Linked DNA regions of Stegostoma tigrinum. The protein of the gene in region 1 binds, or shares a complex with, the protein of each later gene. Links are inferred from orthologs where the notes say so. Each region holds a gene or a part of one and is shown on either strand. Other genes may lie near its edges. The genes, in order: agk and timm10b.

Region 1 (15,830 bases):
GTGAAGAAACATGGAATCTGGAAATGCATTGTTTTTTACAAATTTGCAACAACCTGCATGTGTTTACATATAGGATAAATAAGTGATGTACCGAGGCCAAGCACTAATAAAATGTCAGAAACTGTTAAAATTGTAATTACAAAAGAGAACGTTATTGCAATTAAGTGCATATTTGTAGTTCTAACACATCCTAAAGGCTCTAACTTGGAGCTAGCTGAATGTTTTAAATATTCAGACTCAACTGTCACTTCAGACAGCTTGGTCCCAGGACTCTCAGGGAAAAGCTACACAGGCCTTCCAAGTCGCTTGTAAACCAAGATTCAACACAACAGGAATATAAACCTACACACCAGTGTCAGAATACTGTTATGCTGCCTCTCTAATAGTTACAAACGGGACCCTCATTAACCTTCTCAGCTTAACTTTAAGGAATTATACACAGAATTACTGAACCACTCCTGAAAATGCCATGTTTGTGGTGCTGACACAGTCATATAGAATCTACTGTCCACTAAAAGAACAGCAAACATTGATTGCTCACATTTTTCAATTAGATGGGGGTTGGTTGTCCAAGGTAGTAGAACAAAGCATAATTCTTAGTATATTTATTCAAGGTAGGTAAAGGAACATTGGGAGCAATAGTCCTCTTGGAGCACAGATTTAATAATGTACCGATTGTACTTGCAATTGCAGAGTCTGGTGGGATTTTTGATGACATGAAAGAGTCAAATGGACATAAAAGTCACTTCTTAAAGTATACATCTAACGAAAGGAGATCAAGAGCAAAGAGACACCCAGGCAGCAAACAGCAGCCTATCAGTCAATTATACAGTTAAAAAATATTCAGGTTTGCACTCAATAGACTTTTGGGTTTGACATCAGCAGTCTTTGACAGACCAAATGTCCCTTAAAATCAGGACGTTACCTTTATGTCCAATGTTTAGTCACAATAATATAAACTGGTAGATACATCACAGTTGAAAACATGATGTTATATAAACTGGATGCTGCAATCTCATATTTGCATGCATTCTGAAATACAAACAGAAAATGCTGGAGAAACTCAGGAAATCTGACAGCATCTGTGGAGAGAAACGGCATTAACATTTCAGGTCCAATACGATTCTTTTTAAGAACTCAAGAAAAATTATAAATTGAACATCTACCCCACAAAGCCTCAGTAAGTACACAGGCTAATTATAGAGGCTAATTAATCAGCGAAAAAATTCATCCAATAATTTCCGAGTGCCTTACCTCTGCCTGTTGACATGCTGCCCTGCGCAAGAGATTGTCCCTAAATAATACATTAGAAGATATGTTAAAGGACTATATGGAATTACAGATATTTTTATTGAAAGTACTGTTTGTAATCAATTTTAAAGGAATAACTGCAAACATTTGAGTGAAAATATCTTACCAGACTTAAACTTTTACTTTTAACTTTCTTATATTTTTAATGTTCTTCAAAGTTGGGCAGAATTGTTAATGTTCCGGTACTATCTATAATATGTTTTAATTCTTATTCCAGTACAGAGCAGTTACATTATTGGGTAAAAATCAAGTCAAATGTCTTGTGCTTTATTGTAATTCCTGCTTATTAAACCTAAATTGCATGTCACAGCTATCAATTTTAAACAAAATTACAATTGCATCATGCCTGAGACAACAGTGGTATTATAATACAATGAACTTTTGGCATCAATACTTAGCCTCCAGTCCTCCCTAAACTAAGTGACGTTAGTGACCTTGAACAACCAGCTCTCTGATAAATTTAGATTATTTGACTTTCATGCTCATTTGGCTCACAGAGTCTCAGACTACTTCATTTGAGCTTAAGACCTTGGATTTGACGATTAACTGCTGTTATAGAAAGGGTCTAAAATGAGTAACCAAAACTGTGGCAGATGGAGGCCAATGTGAAAAGTTTGAGGTGATCTACATCAAATCTGCCCCTGCCAAAAAATTCAAAAGTAGGTGATTTGTTGATAAGAGATGATCTAAGGAATTAAAGGAGAGAGGGGAATATCTATACTAAATTGGTTTAATGACAGGAAGCAGACGTTAGTAGTGAATTGGGTGTTTTTAAGACTGACAGGTCGTTTGCAGTGATGTCCCACAAAAGTTAGTTTTGGGTTCATTCCTCCTTTACATTTTAATAAACAATCTATCCTGGTTGATAGGAACAATGATGCAAAATGCATACAGATGGTGTGGGACTTAGCAACAGTGGTGATGATAGTTTACAGACTTCAGTTTGGCACAGAAATGAAGGTGTAATGAACAAAAGCATGGTAGATGGACGGCACAGTGGAGAACTGTGAAATTATATATTTTGGAAGGACAAATATTAAAAAATAATACTCTGCATGGCACAATTTTAGAATGCACAGTTGAGCAGAGAAACCTTTGTACCCACATGCATGCATCTTTAAAGGCTAGAGGCAATATTGATGTACAGTTAAAGAAATCATGTCGGTTTATAAATGGAAATGTAGAATTTAAGAGCTAAACAATCACTCTAGAACTATACAAATCATTGATTAAGCCTCAACTGAAATGACATGAGCAATTTGCAACATGTATCGGAAAAGAAGGCCACAGAAAGAATGCTGAGAAGGTTGTTTAAGATGTTACCAACGATGAAGGCGTTCCACTTATGTGGAAAGGTTGGAAAATTAAACATATTTTTCTTCATACACAAAAGGTGAATACGTGGCCTACTAAATGTTTAAGATCAAGAGCGGCTTTGATAGAGAAGACAGAGAATAAAACTACTCCCTCTGTTGAATGGGGCAACAATCAGAGGTCTCAAATTCATAGATACTCAGCAAAAGTTTTAGAGTGGAGACTACAATTTTGCTTAATTCACAGTTGGCAGGATCTGGAACATTCTACTTGAAAAACATGGTCTATGGTAATTCCTTAAATGATTATTAAGTGTGCTGGACAGATACTGGAACACATGAAATGTAAAGTGTTACAGATAGAGAGTAGGGGAACTGTGACTAAATGCAGCTGCTCTTTCATAATGCCAGCAGGTGCACATTGGGCTGAATGACCTTGTGTTGCACTGTCAACTGCTCAAATTCTGACAAGGTCAAAATCTGAAGTACACTACAGATCATATCTCCCTAATCCAACGCCCGCTGGTCCAGCAACCTCTTTGGTTCATCATTCTCAGTAATTTTGGATTTTCCTGTAGTGGTACCTGAAGCTCAGCTTTGATTTTCATTTTTATTACTTTTGGTTACACTTTGTCCAGTTGGGTGACCTAAACCCATTTGTTGTTGTTCAACTGAATAACCATTCATCCATTAGACAAGTGATTGTTTCAAGTCAAGGTTAGCCCTTTTTCTTTAAAAAAAGTGTTTATTTGTTGAATACACTTGAATACCTCCATTGGTCTGGCAAATTCTCCTTTCTAGTTAAGGTGCCAAGACTGACAGATTAGAACAATACCACATGTACCCAAAAAAGGGGGAAATCGAACTCCATAGGAAATTATAAATGACAATTAGTTGTGTTGCTGGAAAGGACTGGTTCATAGGGTTATGTGGAAAAAGCAGTGATATGGAGTTTAAAATGGTGGTCCATCATGTTGCGCTGACTATCTTACTTCTGTCGAATAAAATTCTATAAACATTTTCTTAATTGGGCACTCTAAATTGTAAAATATCAGAGGGTCTGCAGGTACATAAACCTTAAGTGCTAATTTAGTGGTACAAAAGTAATTTAAAAATTCAACATAATGTTACTGTTTAACATAAAGGATTTGTAATACAAAGAATAAATTATTCGTTGATTGTTCAGATGAAATCGAGAGTATTATGTTCAGCTTTGTGAACCAAGAAGAGTATATGGTCTTTGGAGGGAGCACAGTATAGAAAATGATTGGTTTGACCTGCTCGAATTGATAAAAATAAAACTCAGTACAGTCAATGCTGAGAAGTTATGTCCTCCAGTCAGATGCAGAAGTCAGAACTGTAGGGCCCATTCTTAAAATTAGAGCTACTTGATACACAAATTAAAAAGTACTTTGTACCACATGGAAATAATGGAATTCTCTACTTCAAACTTTATTTAGATTCAAATGAAATTCTGCAAACTGATTCATTTGTTAAAAAGTAAGGAAACGAAGTTGAGCTGCTAAGCAGCCGCAATCTAAATGAATAGTAAAACAAGCTAGATCTATTTCTGGTCTTGTGTCTCCACTCAAATGACTGTCCCCAGAGGTTTACAGCCCACCCACTTCTCATCATTCTCTTCTGCTAAGATGTACAATTGTCAAATTCCGACCTGAATCTAAAACCACTCAAAAAGGTCATTACGTCACCCAGTCTATCTATATCTGTGACTATGGCCTGTAGCTTAAAAGAGCCTCCTAAAATTATGCCCACATAACAAGCATGCAATACTGGTTAGTTTCTAGTTTTTAAATTACATGATCCACATAGACTTCATAAGGCATTCAACAAGGTTCCGCACTATGGACTGGTCAGCAAGGTTAGGTCACATGCATTATGGGGAAAATTAGCCATTTGGATACAGAACTGGCTTGAAGGTGGTGCTGGGTTCCTTTTCAGACTGGAGGGCTGTGAACAGCGGTGTGTCAGAAAGATCGGTGCTAGGTCTCTGCTTTTCATCACCTATATAAATGATTTGGCTATGAACATAGGAGGTAAGGTAAGTTTGCACATGACAACAAAATTGAAGGTGTAGCGGACACCAAAGAAGGTTACCTCAGACGGCAGTAGGATCTTGATCAGATGGGCCAATGTGCTCAGGTGCAGCAAATGGAGCTGCAATTTGGAAAGGAAAATCAGGGCAGGACTTGTACACTTAACGGTAAGGTCCTGGAGAGTGTTGCTGAACAAAGAGACTGTGAAATGCCAAATAGACAGCATAGTGAAGGTGTTTGGTTTACTTGACCTTACTGGTCAGTGCTTTGGAGTACAAGACTTGGGAGGTCATATTGTGGACATACAGGGCACTGGTTTTGAATACTGTATGCAATTCTGGTCTCCCCGCCATAGGAAGGATGTTGTGAAACTTGAGAGGGTTCAGAATAGATCAACAAGGGTGTTGCCAGGGTTGGTGGGTTTGAGCCAGAGGGAAGAGCCTGAATAGGCTGGGGCTATTTCTCCCCCCCTCCTCGAGTGACAGAGGCTGAACAGTGACCTTATAGACAGTTATAAAATCATGGCGGGCATGGATAGGATGAGCAGACAAGGTCTTTTCCTCAGGCTTGGTGGGGTGGGAGGGTTTCCAAAACTAGAGGGCATAAGTTTAGTTTAAGGTGAGAAAAAGATTTAAAAACCTCCCAGGGCAATGTTTTCACAGAGGCTGGCACGTGTATGGAATGACTTGCCAGAAAAAGCAATGGAGGCTGGTACAATTACAACATTTAAAGGACATCTGGATGGATACATGAATAGGAGGAGTTGAGGGATATGGGCCAAATGCTGGTACATGGTACTAGATTAATTTAGGGTAGCTGGTCAACACAGACAAGTTGAACCGAAGAGTCTGTTTCCATGCTGTACGGCTTGGTGACAGTGGGTGTAACTAATAACACTACAATTCTTTTTCTCCAGTTTCTATAGCTCACATACAAGAACGTAGCACATACTGAATGATTCCAAAGAGTAGAGATAGTGGGAACTGCAGCTGCTGGAGAATCCGAGATAACAAAGTGTGAAGCTGGATGAACACAGCAGGCCAAGCAGCATCTCAGGAGCACAATACACTGATTCTATCTCAAGTGCATATTATTAGTTAGACAGAAGTGATGCTAAGTTTGTATTATACAATACCATGCTTTAGCATGTCCCAGGTTATGCATTTTATGTCTGCAGCACCAGATACCTTGTGTTACATAAGTCTTTTTCTTTTTTTTCCCCCCCTTTTAACAATACAGCATAGAACAGGCCCTTTGGCCCTTGATGTAGTGCTGATCTGTGAACTAATCTAAGCCCATGCCCCTGAACTATCCTACATCATTCATCCAAGGACTGTTTAAATGCCCCTAATGTGGCTGAGTTAACTTTCCATCTATTTTGTTCTATGTCAGCTAGATGTGGTGGCAACAAGAGTACTTAATGACAATCGAGGATATGGCCCCTACCAAAGAAGAGGAGGATCTCAGTGAACGAGCAGTTTCTAGCCCCAGTCCTGGTTAAAAGGTGGTTTCTAGTCCCCGTCCCTTTTTATGATATGTTCACTCATGGGATATGGACATGACTAGATGGTCAGCATTTATTGCCCGTCCCTAGTTGCCCTTTAGATGCTGATGGTGGTGAGCTGCGTCCTTAAACTGCTGCAGTCCATGTGGTCTGGGTCCACCTACAATGTCCTGAAGAAGGAAATTCCAGGGTTTTTGCCCAACTACAGTGAAGGAACAACGTGCAGGTAGTGGTCCCAGGTAAAGTGCCGATTTTCTCCAGCCCCAGCCCCCCACAGGTGAAGGACTCTCTAATACCGGTATCTCCTGTGCACCCAGTGCGCTCCCCAGCTCAGTCCGCAAATCCCGGCCGCTGTTTTCTTCCAGTGATTGCGCAGCGTCTTTAACACTTTAGCCATTCCCTTGGTTCCAGATCCCGGCACCGATTCCACGCAAAATAGACCACTTTTAAATCAACTCAGCAAATCCGGAAATGAAGCTTCCTCCTGTTCACATGGAGACTGGTTCCGTGTATAAAGCGGTCCGGCCACCAACAACCCGCTTTCACACCTGTTCCGTTAATCAATCCCCAGTAACATTCAGGTGCAAACTACCAGTGCCATACTTATGAAAACTTACTTTGTTTGTATACTACTATTTTTACAACGAGAGAATTTTGTTCAGGATGGAAAAAGTTCTCAGTTTATGGAGGAAGTTATACGAAAACCTCAGAAAACCATGAACAACAATCTAGACAGTAGCTGCACTAACTGTTGGCCCTACTGAACACAGCTACTTCCACATTCCTATAATATCCTCTTCTTATTTGGGTAGGGACCACATCCTCGATTGTCATTAAGTACTCTTGTTGCCACCACATCTAGCTGACATAGAACAAAATAGATGGAAATCCCCTCAGGCTTTACTTCTGTGGTTTTCAGGCTGATCGTTCCTTGACACAATTTAATTATGTCATGACAAAAATAAACAAAATCCTTTTAAAATTATTTTAAACAAATTCAAATCTGTAATTTGAAACAATATACCAATAATGTTGCAAGATACTATAATCATAAGTAGAGGTGAAAATTGATTCAGAGATAGTGGGAACTGCCAATGCTCCTCAATCCATCTTCTATCCGCCTTCCCCCTCGCTCCCTATTTATTTCAGAATCCCCTTCCCTTCCCCCATTTCTGAAGAAGGGTCCAGACCCAAAACGTCAACTTTCCTGCTCCTCTGATGCTGCTTGGCTACTGAGTTCATCTAGCTCTACACCTTGTTATCTCAGATCCCCCAGCATCTGCAATTCCTACTATCTCTTAACTAGAGTTGCCTTCTGTTTAAATTCCAGGTGTTTGGAAAGTAGCACAAAATGCTGTGAATAACAAATACTTAACAAGATTTTGCAGTCCTTAAGCAGGCTTTCACATTCTATACCTAATGAGTTTAACTTAGAGTGTGCTGTTGCTGTACCTCATTAATCCAGCTACTACAGTAATTCTATTAATTGAAGAGGAGATAACAGCACCTAAGCTATTTTGTAATTAATAAATACAAACAGTGGTTGCTCTATGCAAATAAAGTAAATCCATCCTGTTAACAGCTTCACAGGGAAAGAGACATTAGTAATCAATTAGTAATCAGCTGAAATCTGTGTAACTAGGTGATAGAGCAAGGCTTGAATGCAATCAAATTCAAATGTCCCTTTAAAACTTTTACTCCAGTTTCTTTTTGCAAAATATTCAGCTGTTCTCGTAGGATCTTACAATTGTGAAGGAGACCGTTCTGTTCATCATGCCAGTGCTGGCTCGGAGTTTTATAATTAGACTTCAACAGTCACATTTCATTCATTTTACAACTTCTCTCTTTCAAAAATTTGCCAAGTTCTTTTTCAAAATTATTTTTGAAGCTGCTTCCGCCAGCCTTCCAGACAGATCATAACTGATTACAGAGTCTTTTATAATAGCCAAAAGATCCGCAATTCATCCCTCACACCCCGTCCCGGCAATAACCACCAAAAGAGAATCCTCCTCGTCATCACATACCACCCCACCAACCTCCAGATACAACGCATCATCCTCCGACACTTGCGCCATCTACAATCCGACCCCACCACTAAAAACGTTTTTCCATCCCCACCCTTGTCTGCCTTCTGGAGAGACTACTCTCCCTGTGACTCCCTTGTCCGCTCCACACTCCCCTCCAACCCCACCACACCCGGCACCTTCCCCTGCAACCGCAGGAAGTGCTACACTTGTCCCCACACCTCCTCCCTCACCCCCAACCAAGGCCCCTGGATGACTTTCCACATCAAGCAGATGTTCACCTGCACATTTACCAATGTGGTATACTGCATCCACTGTACCCGGTGTGGCTTCCTCTACATTGGGGAAACCAAGCGGAGGCTTGGGGACCACTTTGCAGAACACCTACGCTCAGTTCACAATAAACAACTGCACCTCCCAGTCGTGAACCATTTTAACTCCCTTCCCATTCCTTAGACGACATGTCCATCCTGGGTCTCCTGCAGTGCCAAAATGATGCCACCCGTAGGTTGCAGGAACAGCAACTCATATTCCGCTTGGGAACCCTGCAACCCAATGGTATCAATGTGGATTTCACCTACTTCAAAATCTCCCCTCCCCCCACTGCATTCCAAAACCAGCCCAGCTCATCCCTGCCTCCCTAACCTGTTCTTCCTCTCACCCATCCCCTCCTCCCACCTCAAGCCGCACCTCCATTTCCTACCTACTAACCTCATCCCGCCCCCTTGACCTGTCCGTCCTCCCTGGACTGACCTATCTCCTCCCTACCTCCCCACCTATATTCTCCTCTCCACCTATCTTCTCCTCTATCCATCCTCGGTCCGCCTCCCTCTCTCCAAATTCATTTCAGAATCCTCTCCCCATCCCCCTTTTCTGATGAAGGATCTAGGCCCGAAACATCAGCTTTTGTGCTCCTAAGATGCTGTTTGGCCTGCTGTGTTCATCCAGCTCCACACTTTGTTATCTTGGATTCTCCAGCATCTGCAGTTCCCATTATCTCTGAACACAGAGTCTTTTATCTTTGTTCACTTGGCCTTTTTTTTGATGATTATTTGAAATCTGTCCTCTGGTTACCAACTGTTCCTGCCACAGGGAATAGTTTCTCCTATTTAATCTATCAACTTTTATGAATTTTGAAAGCCTATATCAAATCTCTCTTTCATCGTCGCTGCTCTAAGGAGAACAAACACAATGTCATTCATCCCTCTACTTAACTGAAGCTGCTATCTGATATTCTTGCTGCCTCTCAGTATGTGACATTCCAATGAATTCTTGCCTACTAGTACAGATGTTTTATTGAATTTTATTATAGAACATTTACACACTTTAAATTCTCCTGTTTTGTAATGTGGGAATGAGCCTGTGAGTATGCCCAGATGTCAAGTCTCTGACATACTTCAAGGAGGACGCAATGGAGCGAGGTTCATCGTGGAGGCTTTCGGGAGCAGAAGTACCGTGGGCTTGTTGTTGTTGGATTGTTTTGGTAGGGTTTTTCACTTCTCCACTTCTTGTGGGGTTAAAGACAATCTTACAGTCAGTAAATCTGTTGTGGCATTTTATTTTCTGTCATCCATTTTCTTTTTCTTTTCTCTGCAAAATGAGACACAGGAAAAAGGACCAGATAAAGAGGCAGATGTGACAAGTGCCTTCACTTCAGGGAAAGATGATAATTGTTGCCTGAAACAGGTGCAGGCCATGAATGTACTCTCAGAAACTGAGGATTTAAAGTGTAGGCTCAAGAAATGAACATTGAAGAATTTGTTGGCCTTATTTTTTTGTTTAGAAAGGATTCTTTCAGATTATAAAATGATGTTGAGCTAGTGAGGACCTCTTCCATTTGTAGCAGGGCATTACACATTAACGGGAGTTATCTCAGTGTCAAATTGTAATGTGGTCTCGAGCATGCTTGACTTAAAGGCACATCTGCAGGTATAATGCCAAAAGAACTTATGAATACAAAGCCTTGGAGGTTTTGAGTGCCAGATTGGAGACGTTGATGGATTTCAGCCTTTGATCTACTGGGATTCGATCCAGACAAGCATATGTCAGGGCTTCCCTTGGATGAATGCAAAAGAATGGGTGGTCTTCTGTGGTGCAGATGAATGCAAAGGGACAGTAGGTCTGAGGTGCATCTGTTTTAATGCAAGAAGTGTAGTAGGTAAGGCAGATGAACTTAGAGCTTGGATTAGTACCTGGGAGTATGTTGTTATTGCTATTACTGAGATTTGGTTGAGGGAAGGGCAAGATTGGCAACCAAATATCCCAGGATATAGATGCTTCAGGCGGAATAGAGAGGGAGGTGAAAGGGGTGGAGGCGTTGCATTACTGGTCAAAAAGGGTATCACAGCAGTGCTGAAGGAGGGCACTACAGAGGACTTAAGCAGTGAGGCAATATGGGCAGAGCTCAGAAATAAGAAGGATGCGGTAAGAACATTGGGGCTGTACTACAGGCCTCCCGACAGCGAGCGTGAGATAGAGGTACAAATATGTAGACAGATTATAGAAAGACTTAGGAGCAACAGGGTGTTGGTAATGGGAGATTTTAATTTTCCCACCATTGACTGGGATTCACTTAGATGGAGCAGAATTTGTAAGGAGCATCCAGGAGGGTTTTCTAGAGCAGTATGTAAATAGTCCAACTCAGGAAGGGGCCATACTGGACCTGGTGTTGGAGAACGAGTCCGGCCAGGTGGTTGAATTTTCAGTAGGGGATTACTTTGGAAATAGTAATCACAATTCCGTAAGTTTTAGAATACTGATAGACAAAGACGAGAGTGGTCCCAAAGGAGGAGTGCTGAACTGGGGGAAGGCCAACTATAGCAAAATTTGGCAGGAGATGGGGAATGTGGATTGGGAGCAGCTGTTTGAGAGTAAATCCACATTTCATATGTGGGAGGCTTTTAAAGAGAATTTATTAGAGTGCAGGACAGACATGTCCCTGTGAAAATGAGGGAAAGAAAGGGCAAGATTAGGGAACCATGGATGACATGTGAAATTGTGACACTAGCAAAGAGGAAAATGGAAGAATATATAAGATCTAGGTGACTGAAACAGATGAAGCTTTGGAAGAATATCAGGAAAGTAGGACGAATCTGAAATGAGGAATTAAGAGGGCTAAAAGGAGTCATGAAATATCTTTAGCAAACAGGGTTGAGGAAAATCCCAAAGCCTTTTATTCATACATAAGGAGCAAGAGGGTAACTCGAGAAAGGGCTAACCCACTCAAGGACAAAGGGTGGAAGTTATGTGAGGAGTCAGAGAAAATGAGTGAGATTCTTAATGGGTACTTTGTGTCGATATTCACTGAGGAGAGGGACATGATGGACGTTGAGGTTAGGGATAGATGTTTGATTACTCCAGGTCCAGTCAGCATGGCGGGGGGGGGGGGGGGGGGGGGGTAGTATTGGGTATTCTAAAATGCATTAGAGTGGACAAGTTCCCAGGTCCGGATGAAATCTATCCCAGGTTGTTGAGGGAAACGAGAGGGGAAATAGCTGAGGCCTTAGCAGATATTTTTGCAGCATCCTTGAGCATGGGTGAGGTCCTGGAGGACTACAGAATTGCTAATGTCCCCTTGTTTAAGAAGGGTAGCAAGGTTAATACAGGTAATTATCAACCAATGAGCCTGACATATGTGGTGGGGAAGCTGCTGGAGAAGATACTGAGGGACAGGATCTATTTACATATGGAAGAAAATAGGCTTATTAGTGATCGGCAGCATGATTTTGTGCAGGGAAGGTCATGTCTTACCAACTTGATGGAATTCTTTGAGGAAGTGATAAAGTTGATTAATGAGGGAAGGGCTGTGGATGTCATACACATGGACTTCAATGAGGTGTTTGATAAGGTTCCCCATGGTAGACTAATGGAGAAAGTGAAGTCGCATGAGGTCCAGGGTGTGCTAGCTAGATGGATAGAGAACTGGCTGGGCAACAGGTGACAGAGAGTTGTAGTGGAAAGGAGTTTCTCAAAATGGAGAACTGTGACCAGTGGTGTTCCACAGGGATCCGTATTGTGACCACTGTTGTTTATGATATACATAAATGATCTGGAGGAAGGTATAGATGGTCTGATTAGCAAGTTTGCAGACGACACTAAGACTGGTGGAGTAGCAGATAATGAAGGGGACTATCAGAGAATACAGTAGAATATAGACAGATTGGACATTTGGGCAGAGAAATGGCAGATGGAGTTCAATTCAGGCAAATGTGAGGCGATGCAGTTTGGAAGAGAAATCTGGGTGTTCAGGTCCGTTGTATCCTAAAGGTGGAAATGCAGAAGATAGAATGGTCAAGAAGGCATACAGCATGCTTTCATTCATCAGACGGGGTATTGAGTGCAAGAGTTGGCAGGTCATGTTACAATTGTGTAGGGCTTTGGTTTGACCACATTTGGAATTCTGCATACAGTTCTGGTCTCCACATTACCAAAAGGATGTGGATGCTTTGGAAAGGTTGAAAAGGAGGTTCACCAGGATGTTGCCTGGTATGGAGGGCACTAGCTATTTTTAGAGGTTGAGTAGATTAGGATTATTTACATTAGAAGGATTGAAGTTGAGGTGGAACCTGATTGAGGTCTACAAAATCACGAGAGGTATAGACAGTATGTTGTGGATAAAGATACCACCACCTGGTATATCAATAAACAAAGCAGTATTAGGTTTTGGACCACATTAATTGACCTTACCCATAAAGTGTTTGATGCATTGCCATTGCCTTCAGCACCATATTCCAACACATTTAGGAAAAGTATGCTGACTACAGTTTGAAGTTTTCTTTCAGGGAAGGCAAGGGCCTAGCGGTATTATCATGAGACTATTAACCCAGAGAATCAGAAAGTGTCCTGGGGACCTGGATTTGAACCTCACCAATGGCAAATTGTGAAATTTGAATTCAATAAAAACAAATCTGGAATTCAGAATCTATGATGACCATGAAATCAATGCCAATTGTCAGGAAACACTCAGGTGGTTCATTAACGTCCTTCAGGGAAGAAAATCTTCCATCCTCACCTACTCTGGCCTATCAGTGACTCCAGACCCACAGCAACGTGGTTGACTCTCAGTTACCCTCTGAAATGGCCATTCAGTTGTACCAATTGCTACAAAGTCTCAAAGAAATGAAACTGGATGGATCAACTGGCATCGACCTAGGCACCAAAAAAGACAACAGCAGAAACAGCCCTGTCAGCCCCGTGAAGTCCTCCTTACTAATATCTGAGAGGCAGAGCCAAAATTGGGAGATGCTTCTCATAGACTAGTCAAACAACAGCCTGACATTGTTTGTAAGGGTATAATTCTGTGAGTATGACTATGTCCCAGATACCACCATCAAAACCTCTGGATGTGTCTTATCTCACCAGCAGTACAGACCTAGCAAAGGTGGCGGCACTGTGGTATACAGTCAGGAAGGAGTTGACCTGGGAGTTCTCAACATTGACTTTGGACCCCACGAAGTCTCATGACTTCAGGTTAAATATGGGCAAGGAAACCTCCTGCTCATTACAATGTACTGTCCTCCTTTAACTGATGAATAAGTACTCCTTCATGTTGAACACCGCTTGGAGGAAGCACTGAAGATGGCAAGTGAACAACAACACCTTCCAGACATCCAGTACAGAAAATCTGTACCCTTGCCACATCCCCACAATATTGGGTACTTCATCAATGTAAATGTAAAATCAGAAGATCTGATATTGCCAATTTTACATTATCAGTCAGCACTAGAATTAATTCCATTTGATCACTAAACTCTTTCTTCTAAAGTGTTTAAGTTACTTACATTAAATAGTCCTCCTCACTTTTCCAAACCATGGAAGCAACTTTGTTGCCAACTGTATTTGGTGAACTGTGCTGCCCCCAATAACTTTGCTTAGGTGACAATTTGACAAATTACACCCACAGCGAAATGGTTATTGTCTCTGAAAAAAAGTGTAATTGTGTTAGAATCTGCTTAAATATTTGTTATAAGTAGGTCCATTTTGTGCTGGCACAGCAGTATTTCACACCAGCAGCATGTCTTGCTCACACAGGACCATGCAATTGAAGTTCACTGAAAAACACATTCAGAAAAACAACACTGTGGCTTGCCCACTGTCTTATATTTACATTACTTGAACTATTGAGCCATTCTCTTTTTTGGGGGAGACAAAAGTAGATGTTTAATGCTTCACTGGAAAAGCTCATAGTATATTAAATTTAGTTTGCAGTGACTTCCATGAATTATTTCTACATTATACCCAACTCGTATCAGAGATAGAAAGAACTGTCAATGCTGGAGTCAGAGATAACACAGCAGGCCAGGCAGCATCAGAGGAGCAGGAAAGTTGACGTTTCAGGTTGGGATTTCGGAAGAAAGGTCCCAAACCAAAACATCAACTTTCCTACTTCTCTGATGCTGCCTGGCCTGTGTTCCTCCAGCTCCACACTGTGTTAACCCAGCTCATATGTCATGTCTGCACCAATTGACCTCCTGTTGTCATACTATTCTCACATCCATTGCATCAACTTTTGCCTGTTATAAATTATTACATTCACATTTATTATCAATCTGCTCTACGTTAAAATGTACAATTTGCAACAAAAGCTAATACGTCTTTGAAATGGATGAACAATAAATTTTACAAACTGGCTCCTAGAGACCAAGATAATAAAATGTGAGGCTGGATGAACACAGCAGGCCAAGCAGCATCTCAGGAGCACAAAAGCTGACATTTCGGGCCTAGACCCTTCATCAGAGAGGGCGATGGGGTGAGGGTTCTGGAATAAATAGGGAGAGAAGGGGAGGCGGACTGAAGATGGAGAGAAAAGAAGATAGGTGGAGAGGAGAGTATAGGTGGGGAGGGGATAGGTCAGTCCAGGGAAGACGGACAGGTCAAGGAGGTGGGATGAGGTTAGTAGGTAGGAGATGGAGGTGCAGGTGAATACAAGTGGTAATGGGACAAGACTGAAGAATCGCAACAGACCCTTTGAAATTCAATGAACACCTCTAAAGGTAAACAGAAACTCCTTGACAATGGCTTTCCTGGAGGGGTGAATAGCTCTTAACAACTCAATAAAAGTCCGAAAGAATGAGACCCGTTCGAGTTATTGGCTAAAACAGTTAAAAATTTAATTACCTGCACTAATACCATGACTAATATGATACAACAGTTTGGGATAATGGCTACATTTTTAGTTTTAAACTATACAGAAGTCTGACTGTAATCAGCCATTTTGTGCTGAGAGAACCTTTGGAGAACCTCAAGCCATCACTTCCAGCTGAATTGTGAACAGCATTTGAGGATTGGTTTTTCTTTTTGCTACCTGGAATTGGAGAGGAAGTTGCCCAGAACCGCACCGTGATCTCTCGTAAAGGAATCCAGACAGTCTTCAAGTGCTGGTATAACCAGTAAAGAAACAGGCACCTTACTTGTTCCCTGAGCTGCTATACCAATTGAGTCCATCAACAAACAAAAAAAACTAACTATTCGACAGCAGAAACCATTTCAGCTGATGAATCTGACTTGATATTTTAACACAGATAATAAAGTGTGAGGCTGGATGAACGCAGCAGGCCAAGCAGCATCTCAGGAGCACAAAAGCTGACGTTTCGGGCCTAGACCCTTCATCAGAGAGGTGATGAAG
Region 2 (15,794 bases), on another chromosome or scaffold:
ATGCTTCAATAAAGGGGAAACTGGACAGTCTGAAGATGTTGACATTAGAGCATCAATCCCATCGATGGATTTGGGGATTTCATGCAGGCATTATTGGTGATATTTCTCAACGGATTTGAGGTGTCTGCTGTAAATTATCCATATCTTCAGACAGGTAATATTGGTGCTGGCTTTGAGGTCTTTGTCATCAAATGGGTCGCTCCTCTGGCCATTAGAAGCGAAGCTGAATGTCGTTGTCAATAGCTGTCCTCACAGGCAGCACATTCCAGATCCTAACCTCTTGTCATGTGAAAACTTTAACTCTGACTTCACCTTGCTTCTTTTGTCAATCACATTCAATCTGTGCTCTCTTATTTCCGAACTTACAATCAGTGGAAAGTTTCTTTCTATTTACTCCATGTGGATCCCTCAAAACACCTCTGCGCAATTTCTCTCAACTTTCTCCTCTCCAGGAGAACAGTGTTTAATCTATCCTCAAAACTGAAGTTTCTCATTCCTTTAAATCACTTCTGTATTTTCCCCAATGCATTTACATCTTTCCCGAAGCATGGTGCCCGAAAACATACACAACACTCCAGCTGGAGGTCTATTTACCTGTGTGCATTTTCTCTCCCTGTCCTGTCACATTCAGTAACCTTTATTCATGTAAACCCTGGTCCCTCTATTCCTGAATCTGCTTTAGCATTGTATCCTTTATTGAAACTTAAGCATAACTTGTGACAAATCTTGGCATTAAAATGGCTATATGATTGCCCATCCTACCAACCCTCTCACTATCCTCTGGCCAAAATCGAAAGAAGTGTACAACAGGAACATAGAACATAGAACATTACAGCACAGTACAGGCCCTTCTGCCCTCGATGTTGTGCCGACCTGTCATACCGATCTCAAGCCCATCTAACCTACACTATTCCATGTACGTCCATATGCTTGTCCAATGACGCCTTAAATGTACCTAAAGTTGGCGAATCTACTACCGTTGCAGGCAAAGCGTTCCATTCCCTTACTACTTTCTGAGTAAAGTAACTACCTCTGACATCTGTCCTATATCTTTCACCCCTCAATTTAAAGCTATGCCCCCTCCTGCTCGCCGTCACCATCCTAGGAAAAAGGCTCTCCCTATCCACCCTATCTAACCCTCTGATTATTTTATATGTTTCAATTAAGTCACCTCTCAACCTTCTTCTCTCTAATGAAAACAGCCTCAAATCTCTCAGCCTTTCCTCGTAAAACCTTCCCTCCATACCAGGCAACATCCTAGTAAATCTCCTCTGCACCCTTTCCAAAGCTTCCACATCCTTCTTAAATTGCGGTGACCAGAACTGTACACAATACTCCATGTGCGGCCGCACCAGAGTTTTGTACAGCTTCACCATAACCTCTTGGTTCCGGAACTCGATCCCTCTATTAACAAAAGCTAAAACACTCTATGCCTTCTTAACAGCCCTGTCAACCGAGTTGGCAACTTTCAAGGATCTGCGTACATGGACACCGAGATCTCTCTGCTCATCTACACTACCAAGAATCTTACCATTAGCCCTGTACTTTGCCTTCTGGTTACTCCTACCAAAGTGCATCACCTCACACTTGTCTGCATTAAACTCCATTTGCCACCTCTCAGCCCAGCTCTGCAGCTTATCTATGTCTCTCTGCAACCTACAGCATCCTTCATCACTATCCACAACTCCACTGAACTTAGTGTCGTCTGCAAATTTACTAACCCATCCTTCTACGCCCTCATCCAGGTCATTTATAAAAATGACAAACAGCAGTGGACCCAACACCGACCCTTGCGGTACACCACTAGTAACTGGTCTCCAGGATGAGCATTTCCCATCAACTACCACCTTTTGTCTTCTTTCAGCAAGCCAATTTCCGATCCAAACTGCAATATCTCCCACAATTCCATTCCTCTGTTCATGGAGGGAACTCCAGAAATTCTGCCAAAATACAGCTGAAAGCATGGCCTATAATGGTGAAGCTAATAAATTCAGGATTCACAAAGGACAGAACTGTAGGATCACAGAGGGTTATGAGGTTTCAGGCCACAAGCATGGCAGGCTGCAAGGTCATGGAGGGATCTATCCTAAAGTAATAACCTGTGATAATAACCATAACTTAGTGAGATTAAAAATCAAATCCTTTATAGCAAAGAAAGGTGCCAGAGGGCTGATACAGCACTAAGGTGGTATCATTACTTAGGAAGGTTGGTAGAGAAAAATCAGGGAACTATAGACAAGTGATTCCAACATTAGTGGTAAGGAAACTATTGGAAAATGCTCTGAGAGACAGAATTAATCTCCAGTTGGAGAGGCAAGGATGGATTAAGGGTAGTCAGCATGGCTTTGTCAGGGGCAGATTACATCTGAAGTGTTTGATTTGTTATTGAAGATGATTTTTTAGAATACAGAATCCCTACAGTGTGGAAACAGGCCCTTCAGCCCAACAAGTCCACACTGAATCTCACAGCATCCCACCCAGGCCCATCCCCTTGTAACCCACCTACTGTACACATCCCTGGGCACGACGGGCAATTTAGCATGGCTAATCCACCTCACCTGCACATCTGTGGGCTGTGGGAGGAAACCCAGGGTGAATATATATGTGTGGATGAGGGCAATGCAGCTGATGGAATCTACGTGGACTTTTTAAATAAGATTTTTGACAAGGTTTTGCACGGGAAACTAGTCGAGAATATAATTATATTATTAACATATGGTCATGGCTGATCATCCAGTTCAGTACTGTTAAGATATGGAAAACAAGCAAAACCCAATCAACCCTACTATCACTGGACACACAACGCGTGAAACTAAAATATGCAATGACCCTGAGAATTGCCCAGTTGTTCCTAATAAAATTTTATGAATAACAAATCCTGAACACCAAGCTTATAACTTAAATAAAAATTATTAACAATTTATCAAGACTGCAACTATGGCAGGGCAAAGCCAAACAAGATAATCTAATCAATATTGTACTTATGATAATAATGGGATAGTGAAGGGGGAGGGGTTTAGATTAGTTCACAGGTCGGGGCAGCATCGAGGGCCGAAGGGTCTGTTCTGCGCTGTATTGTTCTATGTTCTACGTTCTAAACCCCAATCTTCTTTGATCATAAACCCTGATTCACACAGAAACAGGCAGACATAGTTAAGGGATAAACTAAAAAGAAAATAAACGTTATAATTTGCTAGTTCAGTAAAACAGTTTTGAATGATGAATACCAAGTCTTTGTGCGATCCTTGAATAATGAGTACTTCACAGGCATATAACTGTAAATTTAATTTCAAAATCACCAGTGAATACGAATAGTTTCGGTAGACTTCCAGAAATATTTATTTATTCCTTACAGTCTTCTCTCAGAACATTGAATAATTCTTTAACTGGATACAAAACATGAGATAGTAAGAAACAGCAGCTAGTCCCAAAGCTTCAAAAATCACTCTGCACTTGCTGGTTAGCCTCAGTCATTCCTTGATTGACCAACTCAAGATCAAGCTGAATGCCAGGTGCAAGGACTGTTATGCTGAAGAAGTGGGAGGCTGCAGAAGGACTTACCTGCCAGGCGAATGGCTTAAGAGGTGGCAGATGAAATACAATGTGGGGAAAATGTAAGCCTACACACTTTGCTAGGAAGAAGAGTCATAAACTATTTTTTAAATGAGGAAAGGTTTAGGAAATCTGAAGTACAAACTGGGAATCTTCGTTCAGGGCTCTCTTAAGATTACCACGCATGTTCACCTGGCAGTTAGGAAGGCAAATACAATGTTGGCATTCATTTCAGGAATGCTAGAATCAAGAGCATAGATACACTGATATGGTTGTACAAGATGCTAGTCAGCCTGCATTTGGAACATTGAGAGAGTTTTAGGGCTTGTATCTAAGGAAAACAGTGCTAGCGCTGGAGGGCATCCAGTGGAAATGTACAGGAATGAACCCAAGATGCAGTGCTTGTCACACGAGGAATGGTTCAGGACTCTCGGTCTGTACTCGCTGGAGTTTAAAAGGATGAGGCGACATCTGATTGAAACATACAGATTACTGAGGGGCCTGGATAAAGTGGACATGCAGAAGGTTTTCCATTAGGAAGAGAAACTAGGACTCCAGGGAACAGTCTCAGAGCAAAGGGATGACCCTGTAGATCCAAGATGAGGAGGAATTTATTCAGCCAGAAGGTGATTAATCTGTGGAACTTATCACCACAAAGAACTGTCAAGATCACATCATTGTGTCTTTAAGACAGAGATAGATTGGTTTTTGATTAGTAAGGGGATCAAGAGTTACAGGGAGAAGGCAGGAGAATGGAGTTGAGAAACACATCTTGATTGAATGGCAGAGCAGGCTTGATGGGATGAATGGCCTAATTCTGCTCCTACACTTTATGGTCTTTGGGCATTCATTAACAGCTTTATTTATATCACTAAAGATAACAGTTTCCAATATCAAAAAACTGCATTTGTTTGTTAAAACACGTAGCTATCCAAAATTCAACTCATCTTAATATCAACTCTCAGTTCTACCGAGGAGAAAAATAAGTATTTAGATAATCACTTGAAGTGCCACGCCCCCAGCTAGAGAAAAATGCAACAGGGCTGTATGTGCCTGTACCAGCTCTTCAAAGGGGTATCTTTACTTCGTGCCAATCCACTGTTCTTTCCCCCATAGTCTTGAGCACTATTTCTAGCCAATAATCATCTAGTGCCTCTTGAATGCCTCATTTGAACCTGTCTCCGTCACATTTCCAGAAAGTGCATTCCAGACCCAACTACTCACTGTGTCAATACTGTGTTTCTACCTCACCTTTACTTGTTTTGCAACTCACTTTATATCGGTGCTTCCGTTTCTGGATTATTTTTTCAGGGCGTGGGAACCTATATACCCTGTCCAGCTCCCTCATGGTTTTGAAAACCTTAATCATATCTCTTCTTAGCCTTCTTCACTCCAACCTGTATGTCGAACAATTGCGATTTCTTCAATCTGTCCTCATCACTGAAGTTTTTTGTTCCTGGAACCATTCTTATATATCACTTCTGCAGATGTGTTCATATCTTTCCTATGATGTGGTGTCTACAACTGTACACACTACTCCAGCTGAGGGTCTAACAAGTGTCTTGTACAGAGAATACTGTATATGCTGTACTCATACGCATACACGTGCCTCCTCTATCAGTCCTGCCACTTTCAATGATCTGTACACATATACCCCGAGGTGCGTCTGCTTCTTCACCCCCTTTAGAATCATATGTCTATTTTACTTGTCTTTCAAAGGTCATCAATCATTCCAGTCAGTCTTTACACTGGTTTGATCCCCTCTTGACCCAGTATTACTCTGCATTACTAATCCGAATTTAAATGATACAATGGCGTCCCCAAACACTTGCCAGCACCCAGATTCAGCATTGTTTCTCATTGGGCCAAGAACACACTGATCAAAGACGTTCTCCTGAGCACATTTCATAAATTCAGCACCCTCATTCCCAATTATTCTAAAATTGTTCCCCATATATATTTGTTTAATTCAAATCTGAAAGTATTACCAAGCTATTCCATGTGATTTCCCTGCAGATTTGCTTCGCTCCATCTGTGTCCATTTGGAGGTCTATAAATTAACTCCTGTAACAGGGCCTTGGCCCCTCTTATTCTCTCTTCAATACCACAATGTCTTCTCCAAACATTACTGCTACCCCACATCTAACACTCAACTCCTTCCTTTTGCCTGTTCCTGTACGTTATACAAATGAATCTGCCTACGGGGATATCAGGCTCACTCTGTTGGGATTCAGCCATCTCATTTAAACCAACATTTTAAAGGCTGTCTTGTGATGCAGTGGCAGTGTCCCTACCTCTGGGCCAGGAGGCCCAGGTTCAATTACCACCTGCTCCAGAAGTGTGTAATAACATCTCCAAACAGGTTGAATGGTAAAACTTGTCCAACCCGTGCAGTTCTGAAGAATCACCATACCGGACTTGATGCATGAATTCTGTTTTTCTCCCCACCGATGACAGCAGACAGGAAACAGTGAGTAGGGATAAATGGGTCTTTTTCTGAGTAGTACACAGTGACAATGGGGTACTAGATGACACAAAGATGGGTGGGTGGATGCAGAAATGCAGCAGTGTGACTTGGACAAGTTGAGTGAGTAAGCAAATGCATGGTTGTCGAAACATAATTTGGAAAGATGTGAGGTTATCCACTTGGAAGCAAAAACTTGGAAGGCGTACCATTATCTAAATGGCAAGAAATTGAGAGAGGGGAATGTTCAACAAGACCTGGGTGTCATGATATACTGTAGATAAGCATGCAGTTGCAGCAGGAGGTGAAGAAGGCAAATGGGATATTGGCCTTCATAACAAGAGGATTCAAGTACAGGAGCAGGGATGTCCTGCTGCAGTAATACAGGGTCTTGGTGAGGCCACTCTTGGAGTATTATGTGCAGTTTTGGTCTCCTTCTCTGAGGACGGATGTTCTTGCTACAGAGGGAATGAAGCAAAGCTTTATCAGATTAATTCCTGGGATAGTTATAGAGTCATAGAATAATACAGGCCGTTCAGCATAAACTGGTCCATGCTGACCATGGTGCCCATTCAGCTTGTTCCAATTGCCTACATTTCGTCCATATCCCTCTAAACCCTTCTCATCTAGAAGTTTTTAGATGTTGCCATTATACCCGCCTCAACCACTTTTTCGGGAAGCCCATTCCATATATGCAGCACCCTCTACGTGAAGAAGTTGCCCCTCAAGTCATTCTTAAATCTTTCCCCTCTCACCTTAAACCTACATCCTCTAGTTTTCAACCCACTATTCCTGGGAAAAAGACTAAATGTATTCATTCTATATATGCCCTATACACCTCAATGAGATCATCCCTCATTCTCCCATGTTGCAAGGAATAAATTCCTATCCTGGTCAATCTCTCCCAATAACTCAGGCCTCCTAGTCCTGGCAACATTCTCATAAATCCTCTTTGCACAATTTCCAGTTTAACTATGTCTTTGCTATAACAGGGTAATTAAAACTGAAAACTATACTACACGTGCAGCCTCAACAACTTGTACAATTGTAACAGATCGTCCCAATTCTTATGTAAAAACCAAATGAACTGCAGGTGCTGTAAATCAGGAACAAACAAAGTTGCTGGAAAAGCTCAGCAGGTCTGGCAGCATCTGCGATGGGGAAAAAAAAGTTCACATTTCAGATCTGGTAACCCTTTCTCAGAACTAAGTAACTTTCTCAGTTCTGAGGAAAGGTCACCAGAACCGAAACGTTAACTCTTTTTACCTTCACAGATGCTGCCAGACCTGCTGAGCTTTTCCAGCAACTTGTTTTTGGTCCCAATTCCTATACTCAATGCCTCGACCAATGAAGGCCAGCATGCAAATATCTACCCTGTGACACGGCTTTCAGTGAACTATGTACTCGTACTCCTAGGTCCCTCTGATCCACAACACTCCTCAGGACCTTACCATTTACTGCATAAGTTCTACCATGATTTGATTTTCCAAAGTGCAACACCTCATACTTATCCGTATTGAATTGCAATTACCAATCTTCAGTCCACTTCCCCATCTGATCAAGATCCCTCTGTAATTTTTGATAACCTTCCTCATTATCAACGATACCTCCTAATTTTGTATCATCTGCAAACTTACTGATCATGCCTCGTACATTCACATCCAGATAATTTATGTAAATAACAAATAACAAAAGGTCCCAGCACTGAACCCTGTGGCACACCACTAGTCACGGCCTCCAATCTGAGAAATCACCCTCAACCATCACCCTCTGCTTCCTACTATCAAGCCAATTTTGAATTCAATTCGCTAGCTCTCCAGGGATCCCAAGTGACCTAACCTTGTTGTAGGAGGAAAGATTGCATCTGTTTGGATTTTATTCCCTGGATTTCAGAAGGATGATGCAGTGGGGTGGGGAATATCTCACTGAAACCTTTAAAATTCAAAGAGGACCAGACAGGGTGGATGCACGAAGGATGACAAGTGTGGAATCCAGGACCAAGAGACACAGTCTAAGTCATTATAAGTCATTTAGGACCGAGATGAGAAATTTCTTCACCCAGAGAGTAGAGAGCCTGTGGAATTCATTGCCACCGAAAGCAGTCAATAAAAACACAATGATTAAAAGAGGGAATTGTAGATAGTACCCGAGTTTAAAGGAATCAAACAATGATCGGTAAAAACACGCACAGACTCGAGTGGATGATCAGCAATGATCACAATGAATGATGCAGCAGGCTTAAAGGGCCTGCTCCTGTTTGTTACCATGTTTAACACAGCACTTTATAGTTTCCTGCTACTAGTCTGAATAAATAGTGACTCTGAACTGCAACAGTTAGTGACCCTTACCGTGAATAAACAATGAGGAATTCTGATGTTGGCAAACTGCATTCCTGTTACGTGGACTGATGTGTGGGGTTGAAGAGGCTAAAGGAATAGCCACAAATGGGGTGACAGGAGGAGGGACAAGGTACGTGTCAGGGGCCTGAGGAGGTTACAGAGACAAGGAGGGAGGCGGTGGTGGTAGCACTGAATACAGGCTGTAGGATGTGTGCATGTCACAGAGGGAGTACTCTGTTACACATTGTGATCCAAGCAGTACTCAGCTTGTTGTGTCGCAGTTTGATGTTTGAAGAGTCTACAATTTTCGTTCATGTATGCAGGTGAGACACATCGAGTGATGTCAACAAGGTCAGGGCGAGAATTAGTCTCCAAATACACGCTACGATCAGCAACTACATCAGTGCAAACCACAGCAGGAGGTGGAGAAATATACAGAGGGCAGGTTCATACCATGGGAGCAGGTCAAGGGGGTGGACTGCACTAGCAGTGGGTAAGACAACGTGGGCAGTTGGGTGACACTGACCAACTGAGAATAGCAACCCGTCCTGAGTATGATGGGCACTCCCTGGTCAAACAGACACCTTCCCCAGCAGTTCACAAATCATAGCGACACACAAATACTAATGGGGGGGGGGGGAGAGGGGGGAGGAGAGTGGGGGCGTCGGGGAGGAGGGGGAAGGAGGGAGAGGGAGACGGGTTAGGGTGGGGGGATGGGATGGACCTCTTGTTTCCCCCCGCCCCGTTCTCTTACCGGGGCTGCCGCTCGGGTGTCTCTCGGCGGGGAGGGGCCTGAGCCGGTTTCTAGGGACCCGGAGCCAGGGCGGGCCACCGCCAGGAAGTGACGACACAACTGGGCGGCTCACCGGAAGCGATTTGGGAAAGGTCGTCGAGACAGAATGGAGCCGGAGATTCGCAACGTGAGGCCCTCACCACCCCCACCCCCCCCCACCCCCACCCCTCCCTCACCCCCACCCCTCCCTCACCCCCACCCCTCCCTCACCCCCCCCACCCCCACCCCTCCCTCACCCCCCCCACCCCCACCCCTCCCTCACCCCCCCACCCCCTCCAATTTCCCCCACAAACCAAGAGGTTATGCTGCAGCTGTACAAAACTCTGGTGCGGCCGCACTTGGAGTATTGCGTACAGTTCTGGTCACCGTATTATAAGAAGGATATGGAGCTTTGGAGAGGGTGCAGAGGAGATTTACTAGGATGTTGCCTGGTATGGAGGGAAGGTCTTACGAGGAAAGGCTGAGGGACTTGAGGCTGTTTTCATTAGACAGAAGAAGGTTGAGAGGTGACTTAATTGAAACATATAAAATAATCAGAGGGTTCGATAGGGTGGATAGGGAGAGCCTTTTTCCTAGGATGGTGACGGCGAGCACGAGGGGGCATAGCTTTAAATTGAGGGGTGAAAGATATAGGACAGATGTCAGAGGTAGTTTCTTTACTCAGAGAGTAGTAAGGGAATGGAACGCTTTGCCTGCAACGGTAGTAGATTCGCCAACTTTAGGTACATTTAAGTCATCATTGGATAAGCATATGGACGTACATGGAATAGTGTAGTTAGATGGGCTTGAGATCGGTATGACAGGTCGGCACAACATCGAGGACCGAAGGGCCTCTACTGTGCTGTCATGTTCTATGTTCTGTGTTCTAACCCCTCCCCAGCTCACTTGCCCCAATCTCATGTGGCTGCCCTCTTCACTAAGAATCCCCCTCACCCCCAGAGTCTATGTCCTGCACAAACCCCCTCAGTAATACATCCGTTCATTCCTATCCCCCACTCCCAACATCATACACTCACGTGGAAATTTACGGACAGCAATGGCTGTGTTAGCATCTGTGTTTTCACGGGAAGGAGGTCAATGGCATATATGGAGGGGTAGGTGTATGGGTTTGTTTCTGCTCCTCTGTGATCTTAATCTCCAGCTCGCTCGCTCTCTCTTTGTTTCAGCTGCGGGACTTCCTGTTGGTCTATAACAAAATGACAGAAACCTGCTTCAACAAGTGTGTGGCCAACCTCAACTACAGGAGCATCACATTGACTGAGGTAAATCCAAGGATGACCAGCTGCACACATCATTGGAGGCATGTGATAGCCCTGGAAAGGGTTTAAACATAATTTTACCAGGATGTTGCCTAGACTAGAGAGTTGTACGAAAAGAGGTTGGAAAGACTGGGGTTATTTTTCTTAGAACAGAACAGAGTAGATTGAGAGTGGATGTGGTTGACATGCATACAATAATCAGAGTCGTAGATACGGTAGACAGGAAGAAATTTTCCCTTTGGAGGGATCAATGAGCAGATGTGTAGATTTAAGGGAAGAGCCATAAAGTTTAAAGGTTATTTGAGGAAAAATATCACATAGAGGTTGATGGGAATCTGGAACTCAGTCTGTCAGGATGGAAAGGGCAGAAGCCGCTTTAACATTGAAGAAGTATTTAGATGTGCACTTCTGATGCCAGGACAGGCAAGAGAATGGGCCAAATCCTAGATTAGAATAATTAGGTGACAGTTTTTGACTGGTGCATACTTGATGGACTGAAGAGCCTTTTTCTGTGCTGAGACCTCTCTGACTCTTTGAACCTCATCACACAAATCAGGAACAAGGGATCATTTTGACCCTCCTTCTTGGCTCATATCATTACTCCATCCCCAGTAATCTTTCACCCTTTGATTAACCAGAGATGAAAATGGGCTATTACAGTTAGAACCAAGAGATGTAGCTCGGTGTTAGATAAATACTTTGCAGCTATCTTTACTTAAGGGGCAGGTGCTGCTCAGTACATGGTGACAGAGACAAAATCTCAGTCACTGAAAGGGTTTAAGGTTAATAAGGAGCTGGTATTCAAGACACTGTTGGCAGTGAGAAGTCACCAGACCAGTTGAGATGCATGGCAAAAATTTGCCAGCGTTGCTCAGACAGCACTTTCCAAACCCATGACCACTTCCATACAGAAGGACCTTTTTCCAGCTACTTTGTTTTTGTTCCTAATTTGTGGCATCCGCAGTTCTTTTCATTTTTATTAAGGGCAACAGATACATGGGAACACCATACCCTGCAAGTTCCTCTCCAAGACACTCACCATCCTGACTTGGAAATATATTGCCGTTCCTTTAGTGTTGCTGGGTCAGATCCTGTAATTCCTTCCTTTAGGGCTTTTTGGGTCTAGCTACATCACATGGATTGCAGCAGTTCAAGAAGGCAGCACACCGTAACCATCTCGAGGAGCAAATATGGGTGGGCAATAAATCCTGGGCCCAGCTAATGACACCCACACCTCATAAGAGAATTAAAAAACAATGTATGCCAAGGATATGGAAGGGAAAGTGGAAATTGCAGAGATATTGACAAATTACTCATGACCCTTTGACAGTGCGGCCTATTAGGTGTCTGTACGATATGACACAGTTTGTTGATGGTATGCTCTGGAACGGAATGTGCTTTAATATGTTTCCTCTCTTTCTAGGAGAATTGCATCAACAATTGTGCTGGTAAATTGATCCACACCAACCATCGGTTAATGAGTTCCTACGTCCGGCTCATGCCAACCATTGTTCAAAGAAGAATCTCTGACTATGAGGCAAAAGCTGCAGAGGTTGTGCAGAAATCAAATGTGAATCTGCCTGCATCAGAGGGCCAAAGTAACATTGCTGAAATTGTACCAGGGGACTTGGAAAATTCTGTTATCCCTGACCCACTGAATCAGACTAACACTGGCTCTCCTGACCAGAGTTAGTTTCTTGCTCCCAGTGTCACCCTGGCACTAATTCTTTCACTTACCCTTGCGTGCACAGATTGAGTGATTCCTTCCAACTTCCAGCGAATCAAACGGCATCAGTTGGGAGCTGATGTGTAACAGAAAATCAACAGACCCAGCTCAATATCTACATCACCTGGCATTTTAAACAGGTAGTTGAATTTGTGTTGACAGAAGCTGGAGTGTGGTCTGGAATGGGCCAAACTGGACTGACCGCAACTATTAGACAGTGACAAGACTGGAAACCAAAGGTCATACTGACCAGAATAGCCAGAGCGTTTCACATTGTGAAAGTGAAAACTCAACTCCTGAATGCTGAACTGTTAACATCTTAAACGAAAAAGGAGCTCAAGACAGCCAAGGCATGGAACTGATTAAAGTTAGTTTCATTGAAAATGTTTCCTTGCTCTTCAGTGAATTAATATACATTTAAGTTACAGGTGAGACCCTTGTCAAATGACAGCACTTATTTCAGTTCACAGATGTTGTTTAAGAAATTGTGGGTAATGTTTCAGAATATTTTATCATCTGAACTATCAGTTCAGGAGTCTGTCGTCTACTCCAGGCCCCAAACACATGAATTATATCATTACCACTAAGAGTATGGTCCCTCTGTGAGTGATGAGCTGCCCAGAACTAAGAGGTAAAATTGCAGACATAGTGAGTGCGTCACTGTGGGAATAATCCATACAGAGACGCCACACCAGTCTTTCATAGAAGCATCATAGAATCCCTACAGTGTGGGAACAGGCTATTCAGCCCAACAAGACCACAACGCCACTCCAAAGAACATCCCACCCAGACCCATTCCCTTACCAGAGATAACAAGGCGTAGAGCTGGATGAATGCAGCAGGTCAAGCAGCATCATAGGAGCAGGAAAGCTGACATTTCAGGCCTAGACCCTTATTTGTAGAACTCTTCATAGAAATTTCTGAAGAAGGATCTAGGCCCAAAACAGCAAGCTTTCCTGCTCCTCTGATGTTGCTTGGCCTGCTGTGTTCATCCAGCTCTACACCTTGTTATCTCAGATTCTCCAGTATCAGCAGTTCCTACTGTCTCTGAAACAATTTTAACCCCATTCCCTTACCCTTATATTTCCCATGCCTAACTCACCTAACCTAAACTTCCCTGGGCAATTTAGCATGGCGAGTTCACCTACCCTGCATGTCTTTAGATCATGGGAGGAAACTCACACAGACACAGGGAGGATGTGCAAACTGCACACACAGTCACCCGAGGGTGGAATTGAACCCAGCTCCCCGACACTGAGAGGCAGCGGTGCTAACCACTGAGCCACCTTGCTATATTTCACTAATAGTAGACATTGTTTGAACATTCTTGTGTTCCCAGTGTGTTTATGGTGTGAGATCATGTGCAATAATGACCGAGATTGGTGAGTGGCAAAAATAGCCTCTTTATCGAGCATCCACAGTGGCACCGTTTGAGGTGGTGATGGAATCCAAAGTACTGTTTTACAGTAGACTCTTTTTAGACACAGATTTTTAAAGGTTTAATTTTCTTTAATGATAAAATTTTAGCACTATGGTATCAGGTAGTTGTGTCAATTGTACACAAGTTTGCATGATATCTGTCTTGACGGAGGAGGAGATCGTTTAAGCACTTGCTAAATGCTGACTGTTACTCCTGATGGGATTAGAATGTCTGTGATAATGGGAACTGCAGATGCTGGAGAATCCAAGATAATAAAGTGTGGAGCTGGATGAACACAGCAGGCCCAGCAGCATCTCAGGAGCACAAAAGCTGACGTTTCGGGCCTAGACCCTTCATCAGAGAGGGGGATGGGGAGAGGGTTCTGGAATAAATAGGGAGAGAGGGGGAGGTGGACCGAAGATGGAGAGAAAAGAAGATAGGTGGAGAGGAGAGTGTAGGTGGGGACGGGATAGGTCAGTCCGGGGAGGACGCACAGGTCAAGGAAGCGGGATGAGGTGGTAGGTCGGAAATGGAGGTGCGGCTTGAGGTGGGAGGAAGGGATGGCTGAGAGGAAGAACAAGTTAGGAAAGACCCAGCCTGTCTCCGCTTCCCTAACCTGTTCTTCCTCTCACCCATCCCTTCCTCTCACCTCAAGCCGCAACTCCATTCCCTACCTACCACCTCATCCCACCTCCTTGACCTGTTCATCTTCCCTGGACTGACCTATCCCCTCCCTACCTCCCCACCTATACTCTCCTCTCCACCTATCTTCTTTTGTCTCCATCTTCGGTCCACCTCCCTCTCTCTCCCTATTTATTCCAGTTCCCTCTCCCCTTTTTCCTCTAATCTCCGAATTATCAGCAAGACCCCTGCAGTAGACGTTGGGCTGATGGGGTACTGTTTAGTGCAAGGTGGAGGTGCTCCTGTAACAGTCGTGGGTTCTATTTGCAGTGATCCGCAGTCGAACTTATCTTTAGCCCAGATGAGGTGGTCTTTTAATTCTTCCCATTGTAGGGTTCTGATGAACCACATCGTCTGACCCTCCGTGAAATGTAAGGATGAATTTAGTCGGGTGAGGATATCCATCCCGAGGAGCAGCTGGGCTACAGCTCCTACCCATACAGAGGTTACTAACCCACGGGGGTTAAATTCACTCTGATTGGGTTTGGTCCTTTTAATTTCGATCCTATCAGCCCCTGCTCTGTATGCTGTTCTCACTGTCCCACCTAGCGGGAGTTTGGTCTCATGCTTCTGGGGTAGGCAGGTCAACTCTGCTCCTGTGTTCAAAAGGCATTCACTGTCCAGTTTGGCTGCACTCATGGTCACATACAGTCCATCTCCCCACCTGCTGGCATAAAGCCAGTAGGAGCACAGCGGGTTCTCTCAGTTTTTGTCATCAACTCCTGCTGCTGGGCAATTAGCTCCTTAAACAGCACTAGCTGATCGGTCTTACTCCCAGTTTTTGGCATCTTCTCTTCCTTATTGCTTACTGGGTGACTTCTCCCTTTTCCTCTTTGTCAGCCCCCTCTTGTCCAGTGGCCTTCCTTCCCACAGACATAACAGTTCCCAGGGTGTTTGTTCTGGGTCTTTCTCAGAGGGTTTTACTGGGAGTCTGTCCCATATGTCCTATCTGTAGGGTGTGCAATTTGGCATCCATATCTCGGTCGAGCTAGTGGGATCGATCCATCAGTTTGTAATAATTCGTTCCCGAATGGTCCTATTCTGGTTTGGTGAGCTTTAGCGTCTTAGTAAGCTCAGTTTTAAACCTGGCCACAAAAGCCAACTTCAGCAGGCTATAATCACATCCTTCAAAATCCCTGTTGTCCTGCAAAGTTGAGACTCCTGCATATTCTTTCCAAGTTGTCCTAAATCTTTCCTCATGTTCTGGGACTTCCTCCGTAGTTTTTTTAATAGCAAGCCAGGACTTTTGTCCAGTTGGTCTTAGGTGGACTATACCCCTGTAACCAATGTTTTATTGCTATTCATCCAGCTTGCAGCTCCTGCTCATACTCCCCAAGAGTACCTTTGCCTGCCTCATGGAGAAGGCATCCTTTTAATGACAATTCAGCATCTGTACCCCATCTCAGGGATAGAGCATATATACTCCCCTTAACCAGTCTAGGCTTTCCCATGTCTTCATTGGCCCTTTCTTTGGGTGAGACTTTATTTAGACCATCTGTCTGAATTTTCAGGGGTTTCGGGTTCATGCACAGTGTGTTTTTTGGTCCATTTTACTAGAAC

What was found.
Region 2: agk (region 1) and timm10b share a complex: the UniProt entries of both Homo sapiens proteins name them as parts of the TIM22 complex. The link is inferred for Stegostoma tigrinum from reciprocal best matches to the Homo sapiens genes AGK and TIMM10B.

The regions. Positions count from the first base shown.
Region 1 is NC_081371.1:24,070,343-24,086,172, reverse strand, and holds the start of agk (acylglycerol kinase, mitochondrial), read right to left. Parts: upstream 6,679-15,830; 5' UTR 6,580-6,678; coding exon 6,479-6,579; intron 1,295-6,478; coding exon 1,255-1,294; intron 1-1,254. UniProt on the Homo sapiens protein: Lipid kinase that can phosphorylate both monoacylglycerol and diacylglycerol to form lysophosphatidic acid (LPA) and phosphatidic acid (PA), respectively. Does not phosphorylate sphingosine. Phosphorylates ceramide.
Region 2 is NC_081359.1:113,856,525-113,872,318, reverse strand, and holds the start of timm10b (mitochondrial import inner membrane translocase subunit Tim10 B), read left to right. Parts: upstream 1-9,202; 5' UTR 9,203-9,254; coding exon 9,255-9,275; intron 9,276-10,314; coding exon 10,315-10,410; intron 10,411-11,830; coding exon 11,831-12,100; 3' UTR 12,101-12,561; intron 12,562-15,794. UniProt on the Homo sapiens protein: Component of the TIM22 complex, a complex that mediates the import and insertion of multi-pass transmembrane proteins into the mitochondrial inner membrane.